7 linked regions of the Bombyx mori genome follow. The protein of the gene in region 6 purifies or fractionates together with the protein of the main gene of each other region. This does not show direct contact. Links are inferred from orthologs where the notes say so. Each region holds a gene or a part of one and is shown on either strand. Other genes may lie near its edges.

Region 1 (4,266 bases), on a different chromosome or scaffold from region 6:
TTTTAAAATTTAACATTCTCTTTTTTTGGGCCGAGGTCGAATTTCCTACTTGATAGCCTCCTCGTGCTGAGGAGGCACGCAAATTATTTCCCAGTCAACGCGACAGTCGCTGCAGATAGAAGGTAGTGTTTAAGGACCCACTTATTTGACTATCTTTCATTTTTCGTTCCGGACATGACATGCTAAAGCTCCCTGTCGTGCGGCCTTCTGTTGAACTCTCATAAATCGACCATCACCTTTGAAGACTCGCCCCAGCTGGGTGCTAATGCATTAAGACAACATGGTTGTCTATAGACTCCAATATCCACTAAACACTGACAAGCCTTGAATTATTCAACCCATGAAGGCCAATAAAACAAATCACTAAGTTATTATGTTTTATTATCATCATCATCATCTGAGTCTAATAATTCTGTTTTTCTAAGGCCTATTGACTGTAGTAGATTACTGGAAGGACCAGATGCAGCTTTTTCTTCTTTAATACTTTGCAAGAAATTTTGTAAAATATTTTTCTGATTGTGTAATGAGTCTATATCATCATTTCCCAGTTTAGATTTCATTTCTTCTTCTAATTCTTCCGTAATATCTCCATTTTCGGAAATACAATCTTCATCATCTAATAAATCTGACTCTTCTTGCACATCATTTTGATTCATAGTCAATAATCCCAAAAACTTCTCAATGCAAGATTGAAATTCATCTGCCTCAAATTCAATAGTATTATTATCAGTATATTCTGATTCAATCCCCTCAAAGTTTGAAGTATTATTTAGAAAATTATTAAGGTCCTTTGTTATCGACTCTGGAGTAATTTCACTTTTTACTGTAAATTTAGATTTTTGGCCATAGCGTGAATTTAATGTATTATTTAACTCATCAGGATGAATGGTCATCCAGTCATCGTTATCATCTGAGAAATCCAAATTTGTACTATTATTTTTTATATTTTCCATTTCTTGAGTGAAATTTTCTGAACTTAGTGTTTTTGCAATATTGTAAGATGCATTAGAACTTACTGAGCATTCAGTATTTAAGAAATAATCCTTAGCTTTTTCTAAAAGCTGTTGATAATCCCTAGAACCCTCTAAATTACCTTTAAAATAACCATTGTTCCTTAAAGTAGCAATAAATTTATTATATGCATTGGTTAAAAAAACCTCATTTGATGAGTTGGTTATAATTTGATAACCATAGGAAATTTTCAAACCAAGTAAAGTGCTCTTATCATTTGTGGATTTTCTTTTACTAAAATGTTTAATAGGTTTTGACTGCATCAATATTGCATACAAGAATTTAGTAAACTTCACTGGAACATCCACTAAATGTTCATAATTAATCACAGGACAGGACTTAGATTCTTCATGATTACAATAGGCATTAATAAAGTTAGCAATGTATTGAGGTTCAAGTTTCACTAAAGTAGCTACCTCTATTGGAAGTCTAACAACTGATGTATGGAAATAATCACTTAAATGTTTAGAAAACTTCTCAATTCTTAACGATATAGCATTTTCAATTTCATGTGTTGACTTAGTGTCTTTATTGATTTCCAAGTATTTTAATGCTTCTGATATTTCTAACTTCTCATCTATACTTGCCACATGTGGAGGTATTATATGTAAATTGTTGTTGTAAATGAACACCTGGAAAAATGATGTGTATATTAAGTACAAATATTTTATTTTCAAGCATTAGTGATTTTATGAATGTATGTTGTATGATTTAAAAACTTACTTTATCTGAAATTGAATTAAAATTCAGTATGAAAATCATTTTGACAAATGTATTTTTATATTATTTATATTTTAAATTAAAGCTAATGATTTCATATCTATTCCATAAGTTCATGAATGTCAATTAATGTAGATTACTCTAAACAGGCAAAACTCAATCTATTATGTATAAACTGGATACACTGGTATAAATTGGAATGGAGATCAGAAAGAATTCTAAGTGATAGCTAATGCCTTGAGACTGCCAAAAATCTCTTATTGTATAATAGCTGTCCTACCCTCATATCACACAACACTTACTCTATTTTCTGTAGTATTTGAATTTGCCCATGAAGGCAAATAATTTGCAGCTTCTATTAATAAAAATTCACCATCACTGTCTTTAATTTGTACAACTATGTTAGTGTATAGCTTTGTTATATTTTTTACAAGGTAAACTATGAACCATTCATCTTCAATATTGTCACCAAAACATGTTACATTAATTAAATGCATAGGATAGTCTGAAAAAAAAAGATAAAATAAAATAACATTTAATTGATTAATAACATTTCTAAAATTATAAAAAACGTCTTAAATTTCAACAAAGGCTTTTTCAAGTTAATGTGTATAAAACAAGTGTCTAATCAATTATGATCAGTTTGTTTGTCTCTTTGTTTCTTTGGCTTATAGGAAATTTCTCAATTAATATAATATTTTATTTTTTCAGTCGCTCTCTGCAAAAATAATGGTTTATAGGTTTTGTTTTTTTATTCTCTACAAACAGGATAGGATTAACTTATTTTTAAAATGGTGTATAAAATTTTCTTCTGATATTTTGTATGTACTACTACTTGTACTCACTGTGTAGATTTTTATTCTCATAAACTGGTAGAAAGACTTTGAAAACATCTCTATGCCAGATGTAATCTTTTGACAAAGTTAAGATTGTTTCATTGATTTGGTCACACAATGACACCCATTGTGATCTTTCAAGCAATGATAAAGAATAAAACGTGCAATATACGGTATCTTCGTGTAATGGTTCAGAAAAAACTGCATTTTTATTGAAAGACATTTCTTCAATCAAATATAAATTTCAATGTTAATTACACTGAATATGAAACTTTTAAAGGTCTATGGTTATTCGGCCTAGCATGCTATTTTTTTTAGGGATTTTATGACCTGGTAACTATAATCTTTAGGTCATGTCTAATTTTAATTTATATATATATATATTATAATTTTTTTATTGCCCTTGTAGGCAGCGAGCATACGGCCCACCTGATGGTGAGTGGTTACCGTCGCCCATGGACTTCAGTAATGCCAGGGGCAGAGCCAAGCCGCTGCCTACCGCTTATATTCTTATTTTATGAAAAAATGATAATATGGAGTGAAATTAAATGAAATGAGATGAGGTGATATGGTATGAAAAATAATCTCAGTAAAATGGTGGTCATTTACTAAGGCTTTTTCAGTGATGGAACTTTTTGGAGGATCCCGAGAAGTTACGTTCAGCGGCTTTATGTCATTTTCCCACATTTGTGCACTTTCACAGATACTAAACAGTTAATAAATCACCATTATTACACATTTAAACCCGAAGAAACACTAAATAGACAAAATAAAACAAATCATACAACTTCACTCCTCGCGTTCCAGCCAAAAAGTCCACTAGCATACTAAAAAAAACTCTGTAAATGACCACCATTTTACTGAGATTATAGTTCATCCCATATCATCTCATCTCATTTTATTTCATCCCAGTTGATTAATGTCTCAAATTAATCTTCTTTTTTTTTATTGCTTAGATGGGTGGACGAGCTCACAGCCCACCTGGTGTTAAGTGGTTTTTGGAGCCCATAGATATCTACAACGTAAATGCGCCACCCACCTCGAGATATAAGTTCTAATATCTCACTACAGTTACAACGGCTGCCCTACCCTTCAGACCGAAACGCATTACTGCTTCACGGCAGAAATATGTAAGGCGGTGGTACCTACCCGCGCGGACTCCCAAGACGTCCTACCACCAGTAAATTCATTCATTTCATTTCACTCCATATTATCATCACTACATAGTTTATAACAAAGTCGCTTTCTTTATCCCTATATCCCCATGTATGCTTAAATCTTTAAAACTATTTATTTGTAACGGATTTTGATGCGGTTTTTTTAATTAATAGAGTGATTGAAGAAGAAGGTTTATATGTATAATAACATCCATTAAATAGTGGAGAAAACAATAATAAATTACAGTTTCCGAAGCGAAGCGAGGGCAGGTCGCTAGTTTTTCATAAAAATAAGAATATAAATCAAACATGACATGACCTAAAAGTCTTACTTACCAGGTCATAAAATCCATGCATAGATTATACATTGAGTGTCACTTCCATGTTTTTATTGCATACTTTTAGTTTTGTCCCTAGTTTATTACACTTGATATTTAGGATTATGATTTCTGTCGTCTTTCGTCGCTTGTGCTTAAATACTATTTGATCTTCACGGCTGTTTGTCAATTAAACTCATGTCTTGTCTGTCGTATATCAACGAT
Region 2 (4,384 bases), on a different chromosome or scaffold from region 6:
ATTTTTTTTATTTATGTATTTTGGTTTTGATATTTTATTTTTATGTGACATAGAAGACGAATCTTTGTTATGAAGTATTATGTGGTTCGTGTAGTGTGTTAGCTTACACAGAAGTGTCTGTAATCCTGAAATAGCATGGGGTTAACGACCGTTGTCTGGGTGTTCAGTCACCTGAAGTTTGGTTGGCAAAGGTTCGCAGTTGAAAACTGATACTCTAGTGTTTACAGTCATTGTATATCTGTATATATTTTTTATATGTATTTTAAGTCGCGAACTTCATGAATGCAATGAAAACAAGCTTGGAATTGCGTTTGAAGTTTTTATTTCAAAAATACAAAACAATATTTTCAGTTAGTTATTAAATGTTGTAATATGTTTCAGACATAATGCATATTGACAAGTGAATCAAAACTGGATCATGTTGACTTATTGAAAATGAACTGTTTAGAAGTAAATACTGAATACAACATTGTTACCTTTCTACGAAAAGTAAAATTTTATTAAATAAATTGCCTAGTCACCAAATAATTTCTTGCCAAGATCCATTAGTCGATGATTCCGACACATTTTTAGGGCACCTGCTTTTTTGAGGACAGGTATAACACTTTCGTTTGAGTCAACTAATCTACAAAGAAAATCTTCAAAGGCTGACTTAACGTTTGGAGCCAGTGTACCAATCTTAACTTTCACAAGCATTTCAATTATTCCACCGGCCCAACCACTTTCAATAGCAAATTCTGATATCCAAGGAACTATAGTTAATACTCCACTCATTGTCTGCATTCCTAGGAACCATAAATCTGCAATTTCATTCCAGTGTTCCTTATAGCTCATGGACACAACTAAAGCAGTCGGATCATTTGATTCATCTACATTGTATGCATCCCAAAGAAACCTGATAGTTGATTGAATATATCTACAAATTGAAAAATCATTCTTTTTCACTTTGTTTGCTTGTTGTTTGAACAAAAGTAATCCCAGTACTGCCAAGTGTCCATGTAAGACAAGATTTTCAGGGATGTCCTTCAATTCTGGTAAATTGTTGAAAATGAATTTGAGTAGAGTGTTAAACAGCATGCTATTGTCAACAATTTTAGGTGCCAACACTGTCAGGTTCATGAAAATGTTGCACAGGCTAACCATGGCAGCTCTTGAATCCTTCATATCTTCCAATAACTTGGGATCCAGTTCTGGCTCTGGTTGAGTCCTAGCTTTGCCTCTTTCTGACTTAGGAATAGGAGGTTTCTTATAATGCACAATAGACCAGTGGAAATTCATAGCTTCATATAAGATGTCTTCCTGTTTTAGGTTAAACATGATATCTCGGGCTTTATCTTCAACAGCTAAGTGACAAAGTGCTGGTAACATCAGACGAAGTAAATCTATTTGGCCCATGAGTCCGGAGTTATCATCTAATGGTTCACCTTCAGATTTATTTTTCTCAGCGAGTTTTCTCGATCTGTATGCATGAAACGAATCATTGGCAAGGGAAAACATAAAAGGCAGTAAAGCGTAGATTTGTTCTCTCATCGCTGTTGTCTCTTGAGCTATCCAGGCAAACAGCACTCTAACCATTGCTCCAACAAATATTTTTTCAGCTTCTGGAAGTTTATCCTTGTTTTTATCATTCGACACTTTTGTCAGTAATGAAACTACAGCATTGAATGCTCCTTTTAAGCTAGTGTAAACAGATTGTTTTTCTTTTTGCTCCAAGTCCAATTGATCAGTAGCCATGTAGTTGATAGACAATTCCAGGACAATGAAACAGGCAGTTACTAACTCTCCATTAGCAAATGCTTGCTTGAAGCTTCTATCTTCCAATTGCATTCTTACTTCAATGGCACAAAGTTGTAAAAGAAGTAGGAAGAATTTCTTAGGATTTTCTTCATCATTAAAAGTCCATTCTATACCAAGCAGATCAACAATGTTGGCAGCTAACTTCAAAGCAGGATCTCTCTGATTTTTACCTATTTTACTTGTGAGAATATCATGAAGAGCTTTGTAGATACTTTGAGGCCATGTTTCATCTGATGATCCAGGCAAAACGGTAGATTTGTTGCAACTGTACAAGAGTGCACTAAGTACTGTGGCTAATTCAAATTTCCTCTCTGACTGATCTGTTGCAAAATCTAAAGCAATTTTGTTTACCAATGCATGGAATGGTTTAGGATCGCTTCCCCACGCAGCAGGGCCATAGCGACTAACCAATTTCACAAGGATATTTAGTGCTTCATCTGTCTGGAAACTTTGGTGAGAGTAGATTTCAGACATTTTCTTTATAGCACCAACATCAATAAGAGCTCTTTGGCCAGCTTCATGTTCAGCTATGCATTGTAGGCAGGTGTATGCTTCACTAATAATGATAAGGTTATCATCGTAGTCATCATTATCTGATGTTTGTACTATATCAAGGAATACTGGTATGTTTGCCAGCATTTCTGGATGGGTTGCAAGTTCAGGTTCATTACAGAAGTTGGTGAGTACAGATAATGCCACCGATTTATATACAGACGGAGGGCAATCATCTTCTACACTGTTGCTTGTCAACAACTTCTTGAGGAATTGAAATCCGATGGCTTCAAAAAGTGCTTTCTTCGCTGTAGAATTGCAGTCCTTGCTTTTTACCAGTTTCGTCACCATAAACAGGGCAGCAAATTTTTCGGTGTCGCTTCTTGCATTTTTTAAGATGAGTATGCATTTCTTGATTGGTTCTGATACATCACCCATTGTCACTAACACACGACACGCTCACAAAACGCAATAGGGCTCCACTGAGTGCGCGGAATCGCAGTCGGATCGTTCAAACAGCGACTCGATCCACATCACGTTTATAATTAGAGTGTGTTCTCTTCCAAAATAGCTAAATCTGGACGTCGAGCTCACGTTCTCTTACTATGTTATTCTAATTATAGCTCACTGGAACGTAAATGATCTACATTAATATCTACATGCTGTGCATGCAGCAGTGGTTCTGAAGTGAGCTCTAAAGGTAAGCCTTTGGTATATTAAATGAATCAAAATCGTAAAATATTACTTAGCGCGAAAAATGAGACTGACAGTATTCATTTTGTCAATCACCTATACCCATGCTTCCATGACCGTGGCAATGTCAAAGTGAAAGAATACTAAAATATCAAAATATACACACCTTATTACAAGCTTTAGTATCTCCTTTTCTTGTTTGTATTAAAGTGTTATCTAAATCGAATAGTATAGCAGAAACATCACTATTTTCGTCAAAATATCCACTATTTGCCATAATTTGTTACGCAGCAAAATGTAAAATCAACGAATAAAAGGAAAAACACTTGTCCTTGACGTCACAAACGTGACGTAATGTTGAGTACTTAGGCAAACGAAATTGTAATATTTATGATAAAAAACAACAGAAACATTTGAAATAAATTTACATATTGTAAGAGAATATTTTGTTATTTACATTATATTTGGTAAATAGGTAATTTGTTAAATTTTGTAAGCAAAAAAACTCGTGGATACGCCATCTAGTGATCACACTAAAACATATTAATAGCATTTTGCCGTCATTGTGTTTTCAATATTGTTTGCCAACAGATGGCAGTGACAGCAAGCAAATCACACAATGTGACCTTGGAGAGTGTGACGTAGAAATCAGAGGCTCACTGAATTTGGACCCCTTTTTTGATTTTCGGTTTTTTTTTTATTTTTAACTTTTATCTTTTTTTTTTTATTGCCGTATAGGCAGACGAGCATACGGCCCACCTGATGGTGAGTGATTACCGTCGCTCATGGACGACAGCAATGCCAGGGGCAGAGCCAAGCTGCTGCCTACCGCTTAATACTCTCCACAAGCCTCGTTTGAAGAAGGACATGTCATAACGCTCGGGAAACACCGTGGAGGGGAGCTCATTCCATAGCCGGATGGTACGTGGTAAAAAAAATCTCTGGATCGTGGATTTATTCGTCGTTTGTTCGTTAATGTTCGAATTAGCTAATTTGGATTAATTATAGTTTGTTCGACGACTATTGGTGATTATTCGACCATAAAAACAATTATATTTCCAATTTATTAACTAATCTGAGCGATAAAAATAAAGATATCTAGTAAAAGGGGGTTCACTTAATGGTGATCATTTGTTTAATTAACTATAAATAAATAAAAGACGAACAACAAATTTTTACATTCGAGCATTAACGAACAAACGACAAACAAATAATTAAAAATAAAAAAAATCCGAAAATCAAAAAAGGGGAGCCAAATTCATTGAGCCGAAATCAGGGCGATACTTTAAAACAAATATTTTTTTTGTATGGAAACTATCGACATCTTGTAGCGGATGCTCTTATGCTTATAATATGTTGTTAAAGTTAAGGCATTTAATTATTTTATAACTAAAGACAAAAA
Region 3 (4,281 bases), about 2.6 Mb from region 6:
TAAAAATATTCAAGCAGAAGTTTCAAATAGTTTTTATGTTAAGTTTTTTGTTTTAAATCCTATTTAAGTGGATGTGAATTGATATAAAAAAACCAGTCTTAATAAAAAAATAAAAAAGTTAGTGAATACAATTTTTAAATTGCAACAATACTAGGTATTTTCACCTGTGGAATAATATTTTCGCGGAACTCATCAGTGAACAATGGCGTTGGAGGCAAATCACATGTGAGGTACAAAAATGGAGACTCAGTGATCATTTCATTGTACTCTTCACTGCTAAGATCGACTTTAGCTGCATCATCAGCATCCGGCGGTGGCAACTTTCTGAAAATTTCAGTCTGTTCAGAAATTTTTGACTGCATATAATGATAGATTAAATGTTAATTATTTTGAACTTTAAAAAATCAGATGCTTAAATCTTACCTTGTATAGATCCTCATGTGACCCAGAAATGACTTATAAATTATGGAGCTATTTGGCTTCTTTGTACCATTCAGTGCCATGTGTAATGAATTTAGAAACCAAGACAGAAAGTCTATTGGATCACCTGAGCAAAAATTTATTTATTTATAAATTTTTATTATTATTATAAAACAATATATAATTAAAATATAAAACTGATCAATCAATATTCATACTTTTTAGCATAATATACAGAAATTACACTAAGAAAGCATGTTCGTATATCCAAAAAACTACTAAAATCTTACTCTGCTTAATAAACTGATATCGCTTCTTAGACCACAGCACAACAGCCTGCAACATCTCGTGAGGAGATACATGTGCTTTAAAAGCACGGGGGTTCCATAGTTTGCGTAATAATTCACCAAATCTTTGTACAAGTAAAAAAGACGAGTCCCCTGGTGGTCTTTTTACACTAGCATAGTTCTCTTCTCTCAAAAAGTAGTTACGTAGGGGACGTACTTGTGACAAACACTAAAATCATAAAATGAATTTAGTATAAAACTGTGACAATATTAAGACTTTGTAGCACTGTGTAATTATTCACTACAAATATACATAATGGTTAAAACAGAATCAGTTTGACTGTAACGCATCTACTTTCACAGATCGCCGGCAACAAAAATATAAGTCGCATTTATCATACAATAAAAACAGTACATATCATAAAATGTATTTAATAAAAACATATACTGACCTGCAAAATTACATTACAGTAATCATTGGCCTTGATATTATTAAGGCCTACAATGCCAGGCATATACATTGTGCCATCAATGGCTCGTGACATCTTTGTGTTAGTATCTATAAGCTTGATCTGTTCAGGTGTGAATGTTGGGTTCAAAACATATTTGATGTCATTCAATGAAGAGTCTAAAATGTGAAATTGTCTTTTTTTATGACTGTGATAGGTAGATTAGCTCCCGGCTCATCTGATGCTATGTGATTACCCGCATCCCTATAACAGGAGTTCTAAGTCTCAGTTTTACAGTACAACAGTAGCTGTCCCCTTCACCAATGCACATTATTGCTTCACGGCAGAAATAGGCAGAGTGGTGGTACTTACAAATGCAAGCTCTTAAGTCACCCTTAGAACAAATTATAATTTATGCAAGTTTATTATAATCACAAGATGGATTTGATACATTCCTTCACCAACGAAGTGTTAAATACATATTAAAAAAATTGGTACCTGCCAACAGAATTCAAACACCACCACAGTTGCACTGCCCAATACAAATGCACTGGGTGTCTTGTCCATTAGACTATTACAAGTTTTAAAGCTTTACTGTACTTCTAGTCATTGATACCTAAATTTAAGCTTAAAAGTATTTTACTTGATTCCATTTTGGTGTATAAAATTTTAAAAATCAGTCAAATTTTCCTTATTATTAATTTACTTACAAAAATAAAGTCTAACAATTTATTTTAAGTTATCGCATGTGTTAACAACTGTAAAATGCACCAATTCTTAATCATAATATTTTATAAATATTTTCAATGCACAAAATCATCAATTGACCGAATTCATTTATATCTTATTATTATTTTATTTATAATTAATTTATATCTAACATAAAAGCTATTTTAGCTAACCAAGTTAAAAATATGTAATTTACCAATAACTTCATAATTGTCAGGAAGACAATAGAACTTTAATGTGTTAAGATTCAAAAATACATGGTGTCCATCAGCCACTGAATGTGTGTAGGCATGAGTGTTGGTGCCTCTTCCCTGGAAAGTAGATAGATTTTAATGATTTTTTCGCAAGTGATTAATTCAAATTTATGCCTAAGTCAACATAAATAACCTATCTTACATATCACTACAGCAAAGAACTGGAATGAAATGCCAGGAACAACACTGGCGCTCATAAAAATCGTCATCATGAAAACAAGTAACTTGCCTGTAAAAAAAAGTTCAAGCCTCTAATCACCAAAGCCATGACAATTGCATAAATATTTTGTTACCTGAAAATATTTACCGCACACTAAGCAAGCGTAAACATTGATTCTAGTCAATGAAACCGAGCACAATTTCTCAAAGTCAAAATCTAAAACATGCCGATTGATAGTATCCAGGTAAGGACATTGAATTTGTTGAGTTTTCGAATATCGTCCTGAAAATATAATAATACTTTGATTACAAATAGCAGTAGAGTGCAGAATCATAGAAGGTTAGAATTGCATTATCAAGTACCTTGTTTGTCAGTCCCATTTTCATCAGTTATTTTGCGTTTTCTAGATTGTTCTTCAGTCATTTTATTACTATCATAGACTTTAGACAATGTAGTTAAATGAAGAATCTGAAATCTAAATGTAAAATGTAAATATTAATCGTTAAATGAACTTTTTATGGGATTTTATGATACGGTAACTAAGACCTTTAGGTCAGGTCTTAATTAAATTTATATTCTTATTTTTATGAAAAATGGTAATACGAAGTGGTATGAAATGAAATGAGATAATATAGTATGAAATATGAAGTCGTCGTGGCCTAAAGGATAAGACGTCCGGTGCATTCGTGTTGAGCAATGCACCGATGTTCGAATCTCAGGTGGGTACCAATTTTTCTATTGAAATACATAACAAATGTTAACGATTGACTTCCACGGTGAAGGCATAACATCGTGTAATAAAAATCAAACCCGCAAAATTATAATTTGCGTAATTACTGGTGGAAGGACCTCTTGTGAATCCGCGTGGGTAGGTACCACCACCCTGCCTATTTGTGCCGTGAAGCAGTAATGCGTTTCGGTTTGAAGGGTGGGACAGCCATTGTAACTATACTTGAGACCTTATCCATCCTCCAAAAAGTTCACTAAAAAGTATCAGTAAATGACCACTATCATAGTGAGATTATATTTTATACCATATCATCTCATCTCATTTCACTTCATATTATCATTTTTCATAAAAATAAGAATATAAATTTTATTAAGAGTTGACCTAAAGATCTTAGTTACCGTGTCATAAAATCCATTAAAAAATATTTTAGTAGGAGTATGTGTTCTATTTTCGAACTGGAAAGGCAAAAGTATGATACCATACAGCCTAATCTTTCATATTTTTTTGCTTATGATAAATGATTATATGAAATGAAATGAAGTTGATTAATTTGGAACAATAATCAATTGGCATGAAATGAAACGTAATGAGATGAGATGAAATATAGTCTCAGTAAAATGGGAATTATTTTCTGAGACTTTTTCAATGGACTTTTAAAAAGATCCCGAGAAGCTACATTTAACGGCTTTGTTGCATATTCATACATTTGTGCACTTTCAAAGGTATTATACAGTCAATTAACCACCATTATTACGCATTTTAATCTGAAAAGACACTACATAAATTAAATAAAACAATTGACACTGCTACGCTCATAGATTAATATTTGAAAGCTTCGCTCCTCGAATTTCCGCCAAAAAGTTATTATTTTGCCAATATTGTAATTATAGAGTAACTTGGCAATTTTTGGTAATATTTAGGCCTTGTCCGCACAGCGATATTTCACCGCGCGATTTTTTTCTCGTAATTCTGTAACACATTTAATATTATAGAAGTATCCGCACTGGCGGGAACGAAATCGCGCGGGAAAAAAATCTGTGACTTGATGCAAATTGAACGCGAAGCGGTGCGATTTATTTCCGCGCGAATATTTTGTATCGTGTAGAGTAAGTATGGCTATGTTCGCACTGTGGAATAAAATTCGCGCATTTCGCTCATAGTCCTACAACCTCGCTATTGAAAAGATGTAGTAAAGTAGTTGTAGTAAATTATCGAATGATATTTTTGTCATTCTGTAATAGCCAAAAAACTT
Region 4 (4,249 bases), about 13 Mb from region 6:
CACGGCAGTAAAAATCAGAGTGTTGCTACCTACTCTTGTGGGCGTATAAGTCACCCTACCATTAGTAATTACGCATTATATAATTTTCGCAGGTTTGATTTTTATTATAGGCTCTTACAGTTTTACTGGCTTGGACGCAGCGCTCGATCCGAATGCACCGGGCGTCATAATCCGCAGGCCACCACCCCTTCAATAGCTGGTCGTTCTTGATGGACATTCTGGATTATTATTAGTCTGGACTGGATGCGATAGGCAAGAGACCTAGAATAATGGAGTGTATTTGAAGAGACCTATACTCAGCATTAGGTGGATAAGGTTTGAAGAAGAGATGAAAATTCTAGAGGCATTTAAGAATTCGTCCATTACCTTCGTAGATTGTTTTCATAAGAAGTGTAATACTTATTAACTGTAGATTATTTTGAGTACCTTAAAGGACTAGACTATATCTGTCAAAACCGTCAGATTTGACAGTTTTTTGAAAAACTTTGCGGTCCATCTTATCGTTTCATTACATATATTTCGTTCAATTTCATTCACATGTATTACTAATACAAAATACATTTTTTTCATTACACTCCGGTGTTTGGTTCCTTTGTTATCCAACACAGTATTTAAAAAAGAAACGAGCTGCCGAAGAGATATTTAATTTTGAGTTTGAGTAGGTCAGAATCGCATAGTATAACTCTTTCCTAATGATAACCTTAACGGTTTCCACTGCTTTTCCTTTTGCTATAAAATATTACAGGGCTTTTGGTAAGGTAATGTAATGATTATTTAGTTGTAATTATACTGTATACCTAGTTGAAATTATATTAACCAGTAAGTATACCAGCCCCCTTCAGCTCCCTTCCATTTTACTTTTTTATTATTCATCCGTCTTTAAGAACGGATTTCGTTTCTACCTCACGTTTAATTTCTTATCTGCTTTTGTTTGGTATATACTGGTGGCAGATACAAAGATTGCAAGACGGCGCCAATGGCGAACTCTTCTATCTATTTTTGCTATAGAGCAATCTTAAATTCCTGTTTAAAAAGGAGAAATGCCGATATTCCCAATAAATTAATTCGTGACTAGTTAGATTAAATCAAAAAACAACTAGAAAACTATTTTGTTACATATCTCACTATCGAATAGGAAAATATTTTATCATACTTGAAACTGAGAATGAGATATTTATCGTTTGTGTAATTTGCTACTCTGAGCTTACCTTAAATTACGTAAAAATCAACTGTTTATTTGAAAATCATTGAATCCAAAGATATTAAGTGATTACTTATGTTGTTTATTTTAATTCCTTCAATGAAGTAGGAAACCTATAGGTCTATGAATTCCTTTGACAAAATGACATTTGACTTTTTGAATTGTCATTCTCTTTGAGGTTATGTTTGATATAAACAAACCGCTATCGGCGCTATCACACAAATAGTTAGCTATGTACCTAAATTTCATTTAAATTTCGAATAATTTAATATAAACACACGTGAAAATGTCGAGTAAGCCTAATTCTAAGCGGACAATATACGTTGGAGGGCTAGCTGAGGAGGTCGACGAGAAAGTTTTAAACGCTGCTTTCATCCCTTTCGGGGATTTGGTTGATGTTCAAATACCTTTGGATTATGAGACTGAGAAGCATCGGGGCTTCGCTTTCATAGAGTTCGAAAACGCTGAGGATGCTGCCGCAGCGATTGATAACATGGTCAGTACTTTTACAGTGAAATACATGGCAGATGCTGGACATGGATTCTTTCAGTTCTAGTCCATAGGTATGATACAAAATACTCATTTTGGTACAAACGAAGGGTACACATCTTTGTTTATCGTTAAAGAATGTGAAATTACATTCAGGAATTATTTTTGGACAAATAAGATATATAAGTCTATATTTATTACTTATACAATAATATCTGACATTTTAAATTCTTACATTTTTTCGGTCTTAAATGTCCATTGTGAATATAGTAAGAGGTGAAGAAGTGTTATTATTGTTGTTATAACTCGGAAGTCCCCGAGTTTTTATTACAGATGGTAGGGTATATTGTAAGCCCAAGGGGTAGGTGCCACCAACATGTTTATTTATGATTTCTGATTGGCACAGTAGCCATCACCAGTGGAATAACCACAATTGAAACTACAACCTTATGTCTCAAGGTGGGTGGCAGCATTCACATTCTGATGGCTGTTGTCTTGTAATTACATAAACCTGGTGACATGAGTTTGTACATACTTATCACAAGCAAAACCTACCATAGCTAAAGGAATCTATATTGAAGAGTGAAATGCTATTTGGTATAAGCAACATTTTCCTTAATACACAACTTCATCTTCATAATTAAAGGTGTGTTTTATTTGGTATTAGCAAGAACAGTTTGATGGTTTTAATTGCTCTTTAATTGAGTTTATTCCATTAAAAAAGCTAAAGAAGTTTATTTGTTATGGTATTTTTTCCAAATTTTAAACTTTAAATGGCCTTTAAGTTCCAAAAATGTCAATATGTCCGAATGTTTGTAGGCAGCGGCTTGGCTCTTCCCCTGGCATTGCTGACGTCCATGAGCGACGGTAACCACTCACCATCAAGTGGGCTGTATGCTTGTCTGCCTATACGGCAATAAAAAAATATGTCACTTAAAACAAATAGCCTTTCACCCCTCAATATAAGGTATTGAAGGGAGAATTAAAATTATTTGTGTGTAATTTAAACCTCATCATTGGAAAATACTTTTTACTGATATTATAATTATATTTGTAATACATATTATTACAGTAAATAAAATATTGTTTCACATATATTTATACACGTCATGTTTCAAAGGTTTTTTTTTTTAAATTCCGGATTAAAGGAGATTTTGATTATTTTAATAATTTATTTAATTGACTAACACTAAAATGTTTAATATAATATTAGCTTAATACATTATCAAACTGCCATTCATAACTAAAGTGTAGGATATTGTAATAGAAAAAAGTTATATACACAGTAAATAAGCTTTTATAAAATAGGTTTGAAATTATTAATCTACTAGAAAATGACATCCATAGAGACATAGATGACCCTAGAAATATAGACATATTGTGGAATGCATAATTAAAAAAATTTAAACATGCTTAGTAATATTTTCTCATTTTAACTTGTAATCTAACTATTTATTTCTAGAATGATTCAGAACTATTTGGTAGAACAATACGAGTGAACATAGCAGCTCCGCAACGCATTAAAGAAGGCTCCACACGACCTGTCTGGTCGGATGACTCATGGCTGCAGAAACATGCTGGGGAAACTCTTCAACTGAACAAAGATGGTGAAGAAACTGAAACGAAAGACAAAACCGAAACTACTAGTGTAAGTAATCTAAAGTACATCAAATTAAGAAATAAGATGGTTATGATTCGGACATAACATGTGAAAGGATAATAAATATTATCCAAAACATTGATAAAGATGATTGATTTTAAGGATGCATAATATAAGGACTAAAGCGTTTAAAGTAAATGTATAAAGACTCTGGGTAAGGGGTTTGATAACTTTGTCACTAGCATTAGTCATATTCTTGAGATAACATAAACTCTGTCAAACGTTTGGCTTGTAATTTGGTATTATGTCAGTTACAGAGCGAATGCTACCTTCAGACGTTAATTACAAGTCTGAATTTTATTTAAATATCGACTTTTCTAACTTCACCTCAAAGGAAGTGAAATTATGATGGTAATTTTTTGTTCTATGATACTCTCCATGTCTTCGTATTGTGTCCAGTTTTCCAGTCAAGAGTTTATTGAGTTAGCACATACATTAAATTGTTTTCAAGTGATGTTATGAATATACTAAAACAAAGTGTGTAAATTTACATTGAAATTCTTCTCTTCTTCATCTTTTTCTCCACCTTATCCCACTACACACTTTACCCAGGTGGGCTTGAGCTCGTCCACATATCTAAGAAATAAAAAAAAAACTAGGTGGGGTCGGCACAGCTAATTTTTCTCTTCCATTCTCTTCTATTAGCCATCATCTCAACACTCACTCGTCTCTCTCATATCATATCGTCGTTCACACATTCCAACCATGTCTTCTTCGGTCGACCTCTTCCTCCTCTACCTTTTTCATACTATTTCCATAGATCTCCTAGTCACATGCCTCAATTCTCTACGCATCACATGTCCATACCGCGCTAATCGTCCGCTTGTTTCAAACTTCCTCTGATATACTCATTCTTTGTCTTGTCCATTCTTGTCACTCCACACATCCATCTCAACATT
Region 5 (4,436 bases), on a different chromosome or scaffold from region 6:
GACAGTTTAAAGTCAAAGGAAATGGTGTTTTGATTGGTATGCTGAACTATGCCAACCTATGTGCTTAATGCTCTGTAAGATCAGTGACTGTTGCATTAGACACTTGGTAACATGGCCTGACTCATAATATGGTTAAATATGGGTAGGTGCTAAATTTTGTTATTGCCTTTCTAAGAGGAGCATGCGGCCCATCTGATGGTGAGTAGTCTCCCTCATGAGGTATAATATTAATAAGATGAAGTATGGAGTTAGTTCTAGTCTATATCACTACTTAGCACAATAAGTTCAAAGCTGTCAAGTTATCAAGTTATCAAGTTCAATGTCAAATTTCATAGCCATTATAGGTGCACTAGGCAAATTAAATTACCATTTAAATATTTTGCTGAAAAATCAGATATTCATATAAACTTAATACAAGTTTTATTGTAACACTGAGTTTAAGTTCAGAACAATCACATATTAAAATGAAAGTATGAATGTTTACAAACTGCATTAAAACAGGTTCCTTCAATTGAAAATTGGTAATCCTACAGATGATTCCTCATATAGCATAATAAGAAGTGGAGTATGTTTGTTTAAAAATAGCAAGACTTTCACCTCTCTTTGTGTAATAAGTTCTCCAGCATCGAACTGAGCAACAACTGCTTTCAGAACTTCTGAGGTAATAGATGGAAGTACTCTTTCATCATAATCAATACCAAGAATAGTGTAAATTCTTGGTAATTGATCAGGAACTGGTCTGAAGAGGATACGAAGTGTGATGTTAACATTTTGAAGATCTGAAATAAAATAAATGTTTTATTAAATTAACTACTGGTATTTTCATTATACAATGTAAACTCAAAAAAACAAATGGAAGTGGATTTATTAATTGAAGTTTTATTGAATAGAATATTTTTATTTGCTAAAATAAGAAGGTTATTTTTATCTAAAAGTATTTAAAATAGTTTGTAATTTATGTTGAGTTTATTACTCATTTTTGCTTCCTAAATTAGTTACCAATGATAATATCTTGTGAATTATTGTGCTGCACAATGTTTTAGCATGCATTAAAGTACAATACAATCTGCCTAACACCAGGGCATTTAAATTCTAATGAGTGTATTTGTAATATAAATGGATTTTTCATCTTTAATCTCAATTCATGTTTAATTTTTTACAATACAAGAGTATAGTCACATCATCCATATTGTTGCTTTATTATTCTTACAAATGTTGACATTCTGATGTTCTATCATTAAACATCACAGAAGTATATATTTTTTGGCTGATGTATCAATTCACTTGCCTTTGCTTTGCCATTTCATGAAAGTAAGTATGCAAACACTTCCATAATCAAAGAAAGCCATCAATCATTCATAAGTACATGTTACACATACAACTACTCATTTCACTTGCATTGGTACTGTTGTTCTACTTGTTTTTGGTGCAAAGAAGTCTTGCAATCTAATTTGAAGAATTATATAGCTTTTTTCACACTATAAATGGGACTTTAACCTTATCTCTGAAAGTGAATGGAGGCATACTTGCTAGGTTATGAGCTCTACCACTTAATACTAATAAAAATAACATAGCTTTGAAACCCTAGAACAGAAGTATTAAAGCCAATATGATGCATTATGCTAAAGTGAATACAGATTATAAAATTTTTGCATTTTAAGCATTATCTTACCTTTACTTCCAGTAATAGTAGGAACATTTCTGGGTCGAGACCTGATGTCAAATATAATTGGCCTCTGGACCCAAGGAATGAAGAAATGTGTGCCTTCACCAACAACTAGCTGCTTAACACCAGCAAATCGATCGAAGATAACAGCTCTGTGACCACCGTCGACTGGAAACAATTATCATATATTTATAAGGATCAGCATTTTTACATGTCGCATTTTCAGTGGTTTATCACAATGACAAATAATGTATTATTTATTTATATTACATAATCCTCTGTTTTGAAGAAATTTCTTAAAGATAAGTGTATTTTTTTATATAGATTTTGTTATCATCAATTAAGGATTTAATTAATTTTACTGGTGGTAGGTGAGTCCGCGCGGGTAGGTACCACCGCCATGACTATTTCTGTCGTGAAGCAGTAATGCGTTTCGGTTTGAAGGGCAGGGCAGCCGTTGTAACTATACTGAGACCTTAGAACGCATATCTCAAGGTTGGTGGCGCATTTACGTTGTAGATGTCTATGGGCTTCAGTAACCACTTAACACCAGGTGGGCTGTGAGCTCGTCCACCCATCTAAGCAATGACAAAAAAAATATAATATCAAAGTTTCTATCAAAGATACACAAGAGCTATTTTGGGGATCCAAGCAAATGCAACTTTTATGTTTAGCATACAATACAGCTAGCAAGCTTATGCAAGGTTATAACTGATATAGTTTAAGTAAAATTATTTACCATTATACAATGCAGAATTGACAACACCTCCAACCAATGCCACGCCTAGACCGACTTGCCCAATGCGATTGAAAAGCTGTGCAGCCATATCTGAAATGAATAATTTTTCCATTTTAATTTTTTAAAATCTGAACCATGAAAGTCACTAGGTTACTTGATTAGAAATAAGTGATCGTTTTTTTTAATAAGTCGCTTAGCACAGAATGCATGATTATGGACAAAACAAACATTAAAAAGTAAAAAATTTAATTATTACCTAATTTCACAAAATGTTACTTAACCTAAAATTTTTGGAAATATAATCTTTAATAATTGTTAATTTGAAAGTTTACCTTCAAAATTTTAATGTTTTAACTCTTATTTTATTGTAGACGTAACAACTAACATAAAAGATTGAAAAATTATAGTTTCAAACGGGAAGACAAAAATTGTGCCGCAACGAGAGAAACATAGATTATAACAATAATAGTGATGTTACATATGATATTCTGAAGTGTCGAATCAGGTAGACTAGAGTCCTTGTAATTGTTCATGAACTCGACTTAAAATATTCGAACACAGAGAAATTGAGTAAATTTCGTCGAGAAATATTTATATACAAGGTATTTATGGTTGTGGGATTCATGTTATAAGTATACAAGAATAGGTGCCACAACGCTGCCTATTTTGGCCGCGAAGCAGTCCAGCGTTCTGGTTTGAATGGTGAAATAGAATGATTAAGGGTGAGACCGATATATTAGTATTCATTAAGATATTCTTAATACAGCTTGTATTCGTGTGTCGGTAATCCGTCGCATTCTGATCTGCTAATATTCCGTATTCACTTTATTCATAACACTTAGCTAACTCACATCGGTCGGGTTGTATCTATCACTCGAAAATATACTGGCATACGCCGTACGATGCTAGTGGGAATTTTTAAATACATTACGTTTTAATGTTTGATCCTTCATTTCTTGATTCAACTAAAGATTCTACTCAAGGCAAAATAGTGCATTTTTACATTTATTAGAATAAAATCGGGGAGCTTTATTTTCATTATTTTAATTTTATTTTCTGTTCCCTTCGAATTAGTTGGTTTTAAAACGATGATTTGGAAAACGGAAGTAGGTAGTTGATATTGTTTACCAATTTCATAAATTAAATTATTTTTACACAAAACGTAATACGGCCAGAACTAAATTAAGTGTTTTACGTAATAAATTATGATGAAAATATATTTTTGCGGTGGTATTTAATTATCTTCTAAGAAATTCTCAAAATATAAATAAAAGTTTGATTTTTGAATCGAAATGACTTTCTAAACAAACGGTTCGTGGATTATAATATTATAACTGTTGTGTAGGTACCCACTAGCCACCTCAGTACCGTGTAAGAGGATTTTTTCAAAATCTGGTGAACTCATTACTGACCGACGTACCAGTCTTTCGGTAGAAAAAGTAAAAAAGCTGATGTTTTTATGCACCAATAAGAAATAAATAATATTACTAACTTGTTGTTTATATTAATATACAATGTTGACCAAATTCTGATTTAATAATAATATTCATTTTAATGTATATAATATTATTTGTAAAATATTTAGTATGAAGTCAAATTCCTAGATACAATATACTATTTATATTATTAATAACTAATTTATGTGTATTATCTATGATTATTAACTTATTTCACGAATACCGTATTAGGTTTAACTCGTTTACCCGTTTTATCGAAGTATATTAAGATATCAGGATATTCACGTATTAGTTAAGGTATTATAATATTACATAATGAATATATTAGTATTAGCTAATATTGACAAATATCGGTATTAACCATAGACCTATATAGGTTTCCTACTTCAGTGGTATTAACCCATCTTTGAGAATGATAGTAATGCCGGCCACTCACATGCGGGCAAATATTCGTACATTGTACGAATGTTTGCGCGCATGTGAAGGGCCGTCAAACATTCATTCGTAAACTTAGCAGCTGTGCAAATGGGTTCGCATACTCAATTTGCGAACCCGTTTGCGCTTCCTCCTTCAC
Region 6 (4,109 bases):
TCCACTGGCATTCTCTAAATACCTCTCTCCGCACCATAACGGGTCCGGTATCTGCAGGGTCAATCCATGGATTGTTGATATTTTCTAATTAATTATTATTTACAATCAATTACTTGAGCAAAAATCTTGTACAGCGGCTCCAATATGAACTCCACGAAGCTTCTCTGAGCAGAGGCATGAGGTTGTTTCTTCGTGAAGCGTCTAGTCTTCGCGTTGAAGTAGACATCGCCCCACAGCCAGCCCGCCATGTCGGATGCCCGCAGTCCGCACGCAGGGTACGAGGCAGCGTACATCGCCGCAAACGATTCCAGAGAGAAACACACGTCGTACAATGTTGACGCGAAGCAGACATTACCTGGACAACAGTATACTCATTCAACTTAGCAATCGCCTTAAAAATGGATTAAAGTATTCATTTCTCTTATTTGTGTAGATGGCTACATAATTACCATTTGAATTCACATTTGGTCCAAAGAGTACTTTATGGTAGGCAGCGGCTTGGCTCTGCCCCTGGCTAAGCTGACGTCCATGAGCGACGGTGACCACTTACCATCAGGTGGGCCGTATGCTCGTCTGCCTACAAAGGCAATAAAAAAATAAAAAAAATAAAAATGAAAAAAAAAAACAACTTTTGGCAATGTTCTGTACCTTATCTAAGACACAATGTTTATTTGAAATTGATCCATTCCAATTGACATGAAACTTAGTACAGTACAATTGTTGTTACTTATACTCCAGGTATGGTTGGTGACAAACCTGGCTATAGGAGATACTAATAACTTACCCAGAAGTGGTGAAAATACAATTGGAGGCTCATCAGGATTATCCTGAGGTTGATTGGTCTCCAGCATAGAATTCAGCTCATCAATAATATGCCTGAGCTTATAATAGGCATCTGCAGGAGGTAATTTTAGCTCAAGCATTAGCCTGTCTATTTTGTTGATGCAAAGAGTTAAATGAATTCTTTCTTGTACTGCATGACGTAACATTCGCTCCGTGTTGAGCATTATACCTTCAGCAGCGTCCACAAAGAGTACCGCTCCTATAAAAGACAAAATTAACCTGTATTTGTTTATACTGAAACCTCTTTTTAAAAAATATTTTAAAATGAATTTTCATAGGCAGCATTTGTGAAGCGTGTACATTTTTGATAATAACCTCAACAATTAAAAATGCTCAGATGTCGACTTATGGTTATAATGTCAAATAAAGAAACACACATGACTTTGATTGTTGGTTAAATTGCTTTTATGAGTATTGAGAATTGATAAGTATTTCACAAATAAGCTTTCCTCTTCAGTAAAAAAATTACCATCCGATATCCGCAAAGCAGCAGTCACCTCATCACTGAAGTTCACGTGACCTGGAGTATCCATGATATTCAATAAATGTGACTTTCCCTTTATATCCTTCAATAGCAATGTTACCGGCATGGACTTTATCGACACTCCTCGCTCTTGCTCCACAAACAGAGTATCTGTATACCTTATAGGTATTGTTGTCTCATTGTTAATTGTTCCAGGATGTGTCTGTCTCATGAGACAGTCTACAAAAGATGTTTTTCCTGAAATAAAACAGTTTTAAGAAGATCAAATAACACTCACTAATTTTCGATAGGAAATATGAAATTTCTTTTTCTGATCTGCACATTTTTTTATTTTTGTTACTAAATCCTATTTTAGATTAATATTGATCACTTAAATCTTAGTCTTTTCTTCAGTTTTCTTGCATTTAATCATCATCATCATCATCATCATCATCATTTCAGCCTATCGCCGTCCACTGCAGAAAATAGGCCTCTATATATAATAATAATAATATAATTCCAATAGTTTCATTTTATTTTATTCAATACACTTTAAAGATTTTACGGTTATCTGTGTGTACATAGTATAAAGTAGTTTTTATGAAACTCAACATTATAAGTTGAATGGTAATTATAGAAAATGTAATAATAATAATCAAATTAATTTATTATTAACAAATAAAAGCTCTACAAAAAGCTCATGGATGACTTGTCTCTTATTTATTTCATTGAAATCACATCACATACCATTGTGCAAGTGGCCCATTAACGTAATATTTCTGATTAAGTTAGTATTATCTAACATGTCAGCCATGTACTCCATGTCGTAGGTGGTCTCTGGTAGCTGCTGTTCTTGAACCTGGAACTTCTTGTGTTTCACAGGCTCTACCAGGGGTTTGTCGAGAGCCTGTGTATCTTCTTCTTGGACGACTGTCTCTACGTCGGGTCCATACACTTCTACAGCTTGAGGATAGTAACTGAAGTTTGATGGTTAATAATGTTATTATTAATCAATAACTAATTTTAACAAATACCAAAACAGAGCATAGCTTTTCTCAGTACTTTTTTCTTTGTTAAAAATATTAGGTATTCGAGGTCTGAGTGTGCTTGTTCTATGGTCTAGCATGTGCGTCGCTAGTACCGGTAAAGTGGGTTAACATCTTGTAAGGCCGCTTTATTTGTTAGTTTTAAATGAAAAAGTTTTACCGTTTGTCCTCATGAAGAACGACGGACATAGGCGCAACTTCGGGCTCCGCGTCTGCGTCCTCGTCCTCCTCCATTGCTTCCTCATCACCTTCACGATTATCCTGACCATATACACTCTGTTCGTCTTCAGAATCAGACTCCAAGTCTGGCCCGATGTAGTTTCCAAATTCGTCATATAAATCTCCGTCCATTTTTAATATTGATAACTATATTTTGAAAATATTTCCGAAAAATAATTATCCAAAACAACTGCCGATGCTCTAAAGATTGTTTTGAACAAGTTTTGACTTTGACAGCAAGATAACCTTAAAATCTGGTTTCATTTCTAAACGAAAATAAACGAATTGGACTGTATGAAAAAAACATAGGTAAAGAGCAGCACTAATAATTTAGCAATGTTTTAATACTATCAAAAAATATCATTTAAATGTCTTATGGTTAGTTTTTAAACTAATATTTCGTAATAATATTTGTGTATTTTCACAGAGATTATTTTAATGCAAGCTTACATTGTTGCTCTAGTGGTTTGTTTTTTTAGATAATATAGTTAAAACGATTAAAAAGATTTGATGTGAACCTACTTTAATATAAAGCTATTAATTCTGATTTTGATTTCAATTAATATATTTTTAGAAAATAAAATAAGAGTTTCCTAGGCACAGGCATGTTCATTAGTCGTTTACCTAATTACTAAACGAAACCATATTTTCTAAGGTTGCCCGCCTGATCAGTTGTCACTTTTTGTCAATCCTTTTCAATACAAAAATGGCTGCTGTGCAACAAAATTTTTCGAAAATGATTTCGGGACAGCTTCGTAATAAAGCAAATGAGTTTCTTAACTCCAGAAAACATGCGAACAATCTTGCTGATATATTGCAGATGTTTGAGGTGAGCATGAAATCCCTTGTTCATTTAGTACAACGAAAAATGTAATGCGTCATAGGTTACATTTGTAATTCGTGATTTTAACATTTATATTACAGGTCGAAACAGACAATTATACGCCGCTAATGCTTACAATAGAAGTAATATTCACCGAACTATTAAAACGGGGCGATTTAGTCCAGGAAATAGTTCCATTAAAGCCTGCAGGTATGATTTTGTTTTGCCGCACGAAAATGTGTTTTTGAATTGAATATATCGATTTTAGCATGGTGCGAACCTGACTGTACGTAGATATACGTTGTGTTTACGTAGTATGTAAGCTGTGTTACGTTGCGAAAAATGTTGCTGTCTAAATTTGTCAATTTAGCTGCATACTAATTGACATTTGCTTTTAAAAAACATTTGAATAAATATATGAAATACTGCAATTATTGCAGTTGAACCGTAATTACGAAGCTAACACGTTGGGATTTTAAGTACTAACGATTCAGTTTTTAATTGAAAAAAAAAGTAGTCATATAAATATATTTTTTACTAAATAAAGTTTGCAATTTGCTATTGTGTGGGCTGTCACTAGTTTCAAGGTCGTTTCTGTAGATATGTTTGTCTATTTAATTATCTTCAGGTTTAGTTATCTTATTTTATAACTTATTTTGTCAAAATTAAACTCAATGTGAAGCTATCATTAGCATATTTTGAATCAAAATCTCAA
Region 7 (2,784 bases), on a different chromosome or scaffold from region 6:
TAAAATAAGTTTACTGTAAATTTAGATGGGCCAATGTGATCATAATATATCTGAAAAAATTATATCAACTTCCTGTGACCATATTATTATTAAGAATTTATTTTGGATATTTTGGTAAAACGGGTTCTTTTATTTTGATTACCCTATGTAAATGATAATAATAATAACAAACATGCAGGATCTAACGTATCCTACTCATTTTAATAAGCTAACTAATCTACTAATAATTATTAATTAAATAATGACCTGTTCTGTCTCTCTTGCACTTTCAGATTGTTAAGTAAGGTTGCGAGTACGTCATGAGGACCGATGGCTTTAGCAATATAACCAAAGGTATTTACAGTCGCTCGTCTAATTGCCTTCTTATGAGCCTTTAATAGTTCAAGCAATTCAAAACATATTCTCATCCATTCTCTGGCCGACACAAATTCCGGTCCTCTGTCTGCAATACGACCCACTAAATCAATACAATTCTCTTGTACTTTTTCATGCCTGGAATTAAAAAAAAACATATTAAAGATTTAATTTAAAGATTCTATGAAGTTATCAAGTCACTATTTATAGAACAAGGTTACCTGTTTTTCAAAATGGGTGTAAGCCTAGGCAGGAGATCCTTTATTGGTGGGGTCATCTTTGTCATTCCAATAACATTGACAATTGCTTTTAATGCACCAAGTATAGAGCCTAGCACTTCAGGATATTCCTCTCCCAAGTACTCATACAGTACAACACCAAGATGCCCCATTAACTTTTCCTATGAAATAGCAAGCAATTAAAATTTTCAAAATCAATTGGTAATGATGTTATAAATTAAGTATATTTGGATACATTTCCTAATGTATCCAAATATACTTCAAGACAAATTAAATTCGGTGTATGGACCCCCGTTAACTTTGCGACAGTTGAGCTTGTTTGCCCATTTTGTAAAATATATTACGAAAAAATTATACTACATACTAATTTAGTAAGGAAGCATAGCGTACAAGAGGATATGGCAAAGAAAATGTGATTACCTCCTGACAAGTTTTCATCACGACAGCGATCCGAGAAATGAGATCGGCAGCTTGTTGCCGAACTTTAGCAGACTTGTTGTTCATACGCCAAAGAATAATACCACATATCTGTGGTAAATAGGGCTTTACGCGTTTTCCCAATTGATTCACGATTGTTCCAAAACCGTTCAGCATCACAACATCCTATCGAAAAATCACAATTTGAATCATATAAAGTTAGAGATTACTTACAAAAGATTTGTGTCACGACTTAAGTGTTTAAAAATCAGACATTTAAACTTTTTTTAATGTTTTACCTCAGTTGTCTGTTCTTGGAATGCATACAATATTCCATCGATAAGAGCTTCTTCGAGCTTAGAATCAATGTCTGCTGCTCCTAAATTAGCGAGAATCTTTTCAATGGACTCCATCACCATTTTTCTATACTGCTCATTGTCGTCTTTTAGATCATCAACAATTCTGTTGATAATTTCTGATGCACCGACCTGCGATCAATAGTTTCACAATGTAAGCAATGCCTGATTGGGAAAATGATTACTTTTGAGTGAATTAATGGAAATACAATGATTCTGGTCGAAATAGTTAGTACCTTGTTTGCAATTTCCACTGTGGTGTCGACAAGCTGGCGATAGTTTCGTCTGTCGAGGGCCATACGATGGTTCCAGAAGTGTTTAAAGAAATGAGGCAATATTTCATCCATTATGTATTGAGGCTCAACACCGTCGGTACCGCAACATTGTTTTACTACCTAAAATATTAAGTACAATGTGTATTAAATTACATTACAGTGATTATTGGTTTTGGTGAGATAATTAGTATATGACTGATGCATTATCTAAGACTTACAGTCTAAGCTAATAGGCATGTTTCATGTTAGACATTTGACTTTATTATTTTATCCGCAACAGCAACAAAGTTGCTTCCTAATGATAACTAATGATAACATTCTCTCTTTTCTCTATTCTATTCTTCACAATCCTGATGCCCCTATCTATCTCCGTGAACGCTTTGAATATCTGATTCCTGACGGCAAAGTTAGTCGACAAGCCACTTCTCTTCTTTTAAAAACTCCCATACACAGCTCTAGTCGCTATAGTGGCTCTTTCACAATACAAGCAGTGCGATTATGGAATTCTCTCCCTCAACCTATTCGTGCTAGTTCCTCTCTAGAAGTTTTTAAGAGTCAAATGAAGAAACATTTCCTGTCACTTTAATCGTATTTAAGTTATTGTTTTATGTATTTTTATTTATATGTATTTTTCATTTAATATTAGATTATTTTTTTAATGCTTAGTTAAAAATCATGCTTTAATAGCTCTTATATTGTACACTATTCCCCTCTTATACATCGTATTTCTCTCTGATAATGGTTTGCTGGAAGAAAACTCATGAATGAGTTAAGCTCGCCTTTGTACATAGTATTTAGAATTCTTTAAATCTGTTTTTATTGTATTTTCTTTTTGTGTACAATAAGTATAAATAAAAATAAAATAACTCATTAGGAAGCAACTTTTTTGTAGAAACAACATCGTAATTCGTTGTAAAACAAGAGAGTAGAGATCACTATTTTCCAATGGATATACAGATGTGTGTGCATATTATGTGTATGCAACAACTGGCCATCTCTCTCGCATATCTATAAATCATATTACATTAATAGCAATAATGTTATGAAACATTAAATTGTTTTTTATTTTATTATTTGAAATCTTTTGAATTGATTTGATATTGATTTGAATAGATATTGGTTAAAATCTTTTGTTATTTGAAA

The links.
Region 1: the proteins of 116 kDa U5 small nuclear ribonucleoprotein component (region 6) and protein ecdysoneless purify together in Homo sapiens (affinity purification with mass spectrometry; 5 studies listed by BioGRID and IntAct, with this or other methods). This does not show direct contact. The link is inferred for Bombyx mori from reciprocal best matches to the Homo sapiens genes EFTUD2 and ECD.
Region 2: the proteins of 116 kDa U5 small nuclear ribonucleoprotein component (region 6) and neurochondrin homolog purify together in Homo sapiens (affinity purification with mass spectrometry; 4 studies listed by BioGRID and IntAct, with this or other methods). This does not show direct contact. The link is inferred for Bombyx mori from reciprocal best matches to the Homo sapiens genes EFTUD2 and NCDN.
Region 3: the proteins of 116 kDa U5 small nuclear ribonucleoprotein component (region 6) and ubiquitin carboxyl-terminal hydrolase 39 purify together in Homo sapiens (affinity purification with mass spectrometry; 4 studies listed by BioGRID and IntAct, with this or other methods). This does not show direct contact. The link is inferred for Bombyx mori from reciprocal best matches to the Homo sapiens genes EFTUD2 and USP39.
Region 4: the proteins of 116 kDa U5 small nuclear ribonucleoprotein component (region 6) and peptidyl-prolyl cis-trans isomerase purify together in Homo sapiens (affinity purification with mass spectrometry; 3 studies listed by BioGRID and IntAct, with this or other methods). This does not show direct contact. The link is inferred for Bombyx mori from reciprocal best matches to the Homo sapiens genes EFTUD2 and PPIE.
Region 5: the proteins of 116 kDa U5 small nuclear ribonucleoprotein component (region 6) and prohibitin protein WPH purify together in Homo sapiens (affinity purification with mass spectrometry; 3 studies listed by BioGRID, with this or other methods). This does not show direct contact. The link is inferred for Bombyx mori from reciprocal best matches to the Homo sapiens genes EFTUD2 and PHB1.
Region 7: the proteins of 116 kDa U5 small nuclear ribonucleoprotein component (region 6) and splicing factor 3B subunit 1 purify together in Homo sapiens (affinity purification with mass spectrometry; 4 studies listed by BioGRID and IntAct, with this or other methods). This does not show direct contact. The link is inferred for Bombyx mori from reciprocal best matches to the Homo sapiens genes EFTUD2 and SF3B1.

What each region holds. Positions count from the first base shown.
Region 1 is NC_085117.1:12,228,073-12,232,338, reverse strand, and holds protein ecdysoneless, read right to left. Parts: upstream 2,890-4,266; 5' UTR 2,791-2,889; coding exon 2,577-2,790; intron 2,237-2,576; coding exon 2,034-2,236; intron 1,644-2,033; coding exon 372-1,643; 3' UTR 365-371; downstream 1-364. Other genes in the region: U6 snRNA phosphodiesterase 1, read left to right, coding at 4,240-4,266. UniProt on the Homo sapiens protein: Regulator of p53/TP53 stability and function. Inhibits MDM2-mediated degradation of p53/TP53 possibly by cooperating in part with TXNIP. May be involved transcriptional regulation. In vitro has intrinsic transactivation activity enhanced by EP300.
Region 2 is NC_085131.1:8,296,826-8,301,209, reverse strand, and holds neurochondrin homolog, read right to left. Parts: upstream 2,917-4,384; 5' UTR 2,728-2,916; coding exon 514-2,727; 3' UTR 306-513; downstream 1-305. Other genes in the region: N-acylneuraminate-9-phosphatase, read right to left, coding at 3,149-3,259. UniProt on the Homo sapiens protein: Probably involved in signal transduction in the nervous system, via increasing cell surface localization of GRM5/mGluR5 and positively regulating its signaling. Required for the spatial learning process.
Region 3 is NC_085121.1:4,081,049-4,085,329, reverse strand, and holds the start of ubiquitin carboxyl-terminal hydrolase 39, read right to left. Parts: upstream 2,845-4,281; 5' UTR 2,723-2,844; coding exon 2,662-2,722; intron 2,582-2,661; coding exon 2,433-2,581; intron 2,197-2,432; coding exon 2,082-2,196; intron 1,336-2,081; coding exon 1,160-1,335; intron 937-1,159; coding exon 711-936; intron 548-710; coding exon 424-547; intron 325-423; coding exon 165-324; intron 1-164.
Region 4 is NC_085121.1:14,019,566-14,023,814, forward strand, and holds the start of peptidyl-prolyl cis-trans isomerase, read left to right. Parts: upstream 1-1,332; 5' UTR 1,333-1,487; coding exon 1,488-1,697; intron 1,698-3,152; coding exon 3,153-3,338; intron 3,339-4,249. UniProt on the Homo sapiens protein: Involved in pre-mRNA splicing as component of the spliceosome. Combines RNA-binding and PPIase activities.
Region 5 is NC_085110.1:5,298,477-5,302,912, reverse strand, and holds the start of prohibitin protein WPH, read right to left. Parts: upstream 2,849-4,436; 5' UTR 2,738-2,848; intron 2,496-2,737; 5' UTR 2,494-2,495; coding exon 2,406-2,493; intron 1,835-2,405; coding exon 1,673-1,834; intron 780-1,672; coding exon 598-779; intron 1-597.
Region 6 is NC_085121.1:1,483,767-1,487,875, forward strand, and holds the start of 116 kDa U5 small nuclear ribonucleoprotein component, read right to left. Parts: upstream 2,837-4,109; 5' UTR 2,704-2,836; coding exon 2,513-2,703; intron 2,284-2,512; coding exon 2,054-2,283; intron 1,565-2,053; coding exon 1,313-1,564; intron 1,043-1,312; coding exon 785-1,042; intron 356-784; coding exon 114-355; intron 1-113. Other genes in the region: nucleolar complex protein 4 homolog B, read left to right, coding at 3,278-3,400, 3,496-3,604. UniProt on the Homo sapiens protein: Required for pre-mRNA splicing as component of the spliceosome, including pre-catalytic, catalytic and post-catalytic spliceosomal complexes. Component of the U5 snRNP and the U4/U6-U5 tri-snRNP complex, a building block of the spliceosome.
Region 7 is NC_085116.1:8,410,655-8,413,438, reverse strand, and holds part of splicing factor 3B subunit 1, read right to left. Parts: intron 1,762-2,784; coding exon 1,603-1,761; intron 1,499-1,602; coding exon 1,310-1,498; intron 1,197-1,309; coding exon 1,014-1,196; intron 755-1,013; coding exon 576-754; intron 493-575; coding exon 247-492; intron 1-246. UniProt on the Homo sapiens protein: Component of the 17S U2 SnRNP complex of the spliceosome, a large ribonucleoprotein complex that removes introns from transcribed pre-mRNAs.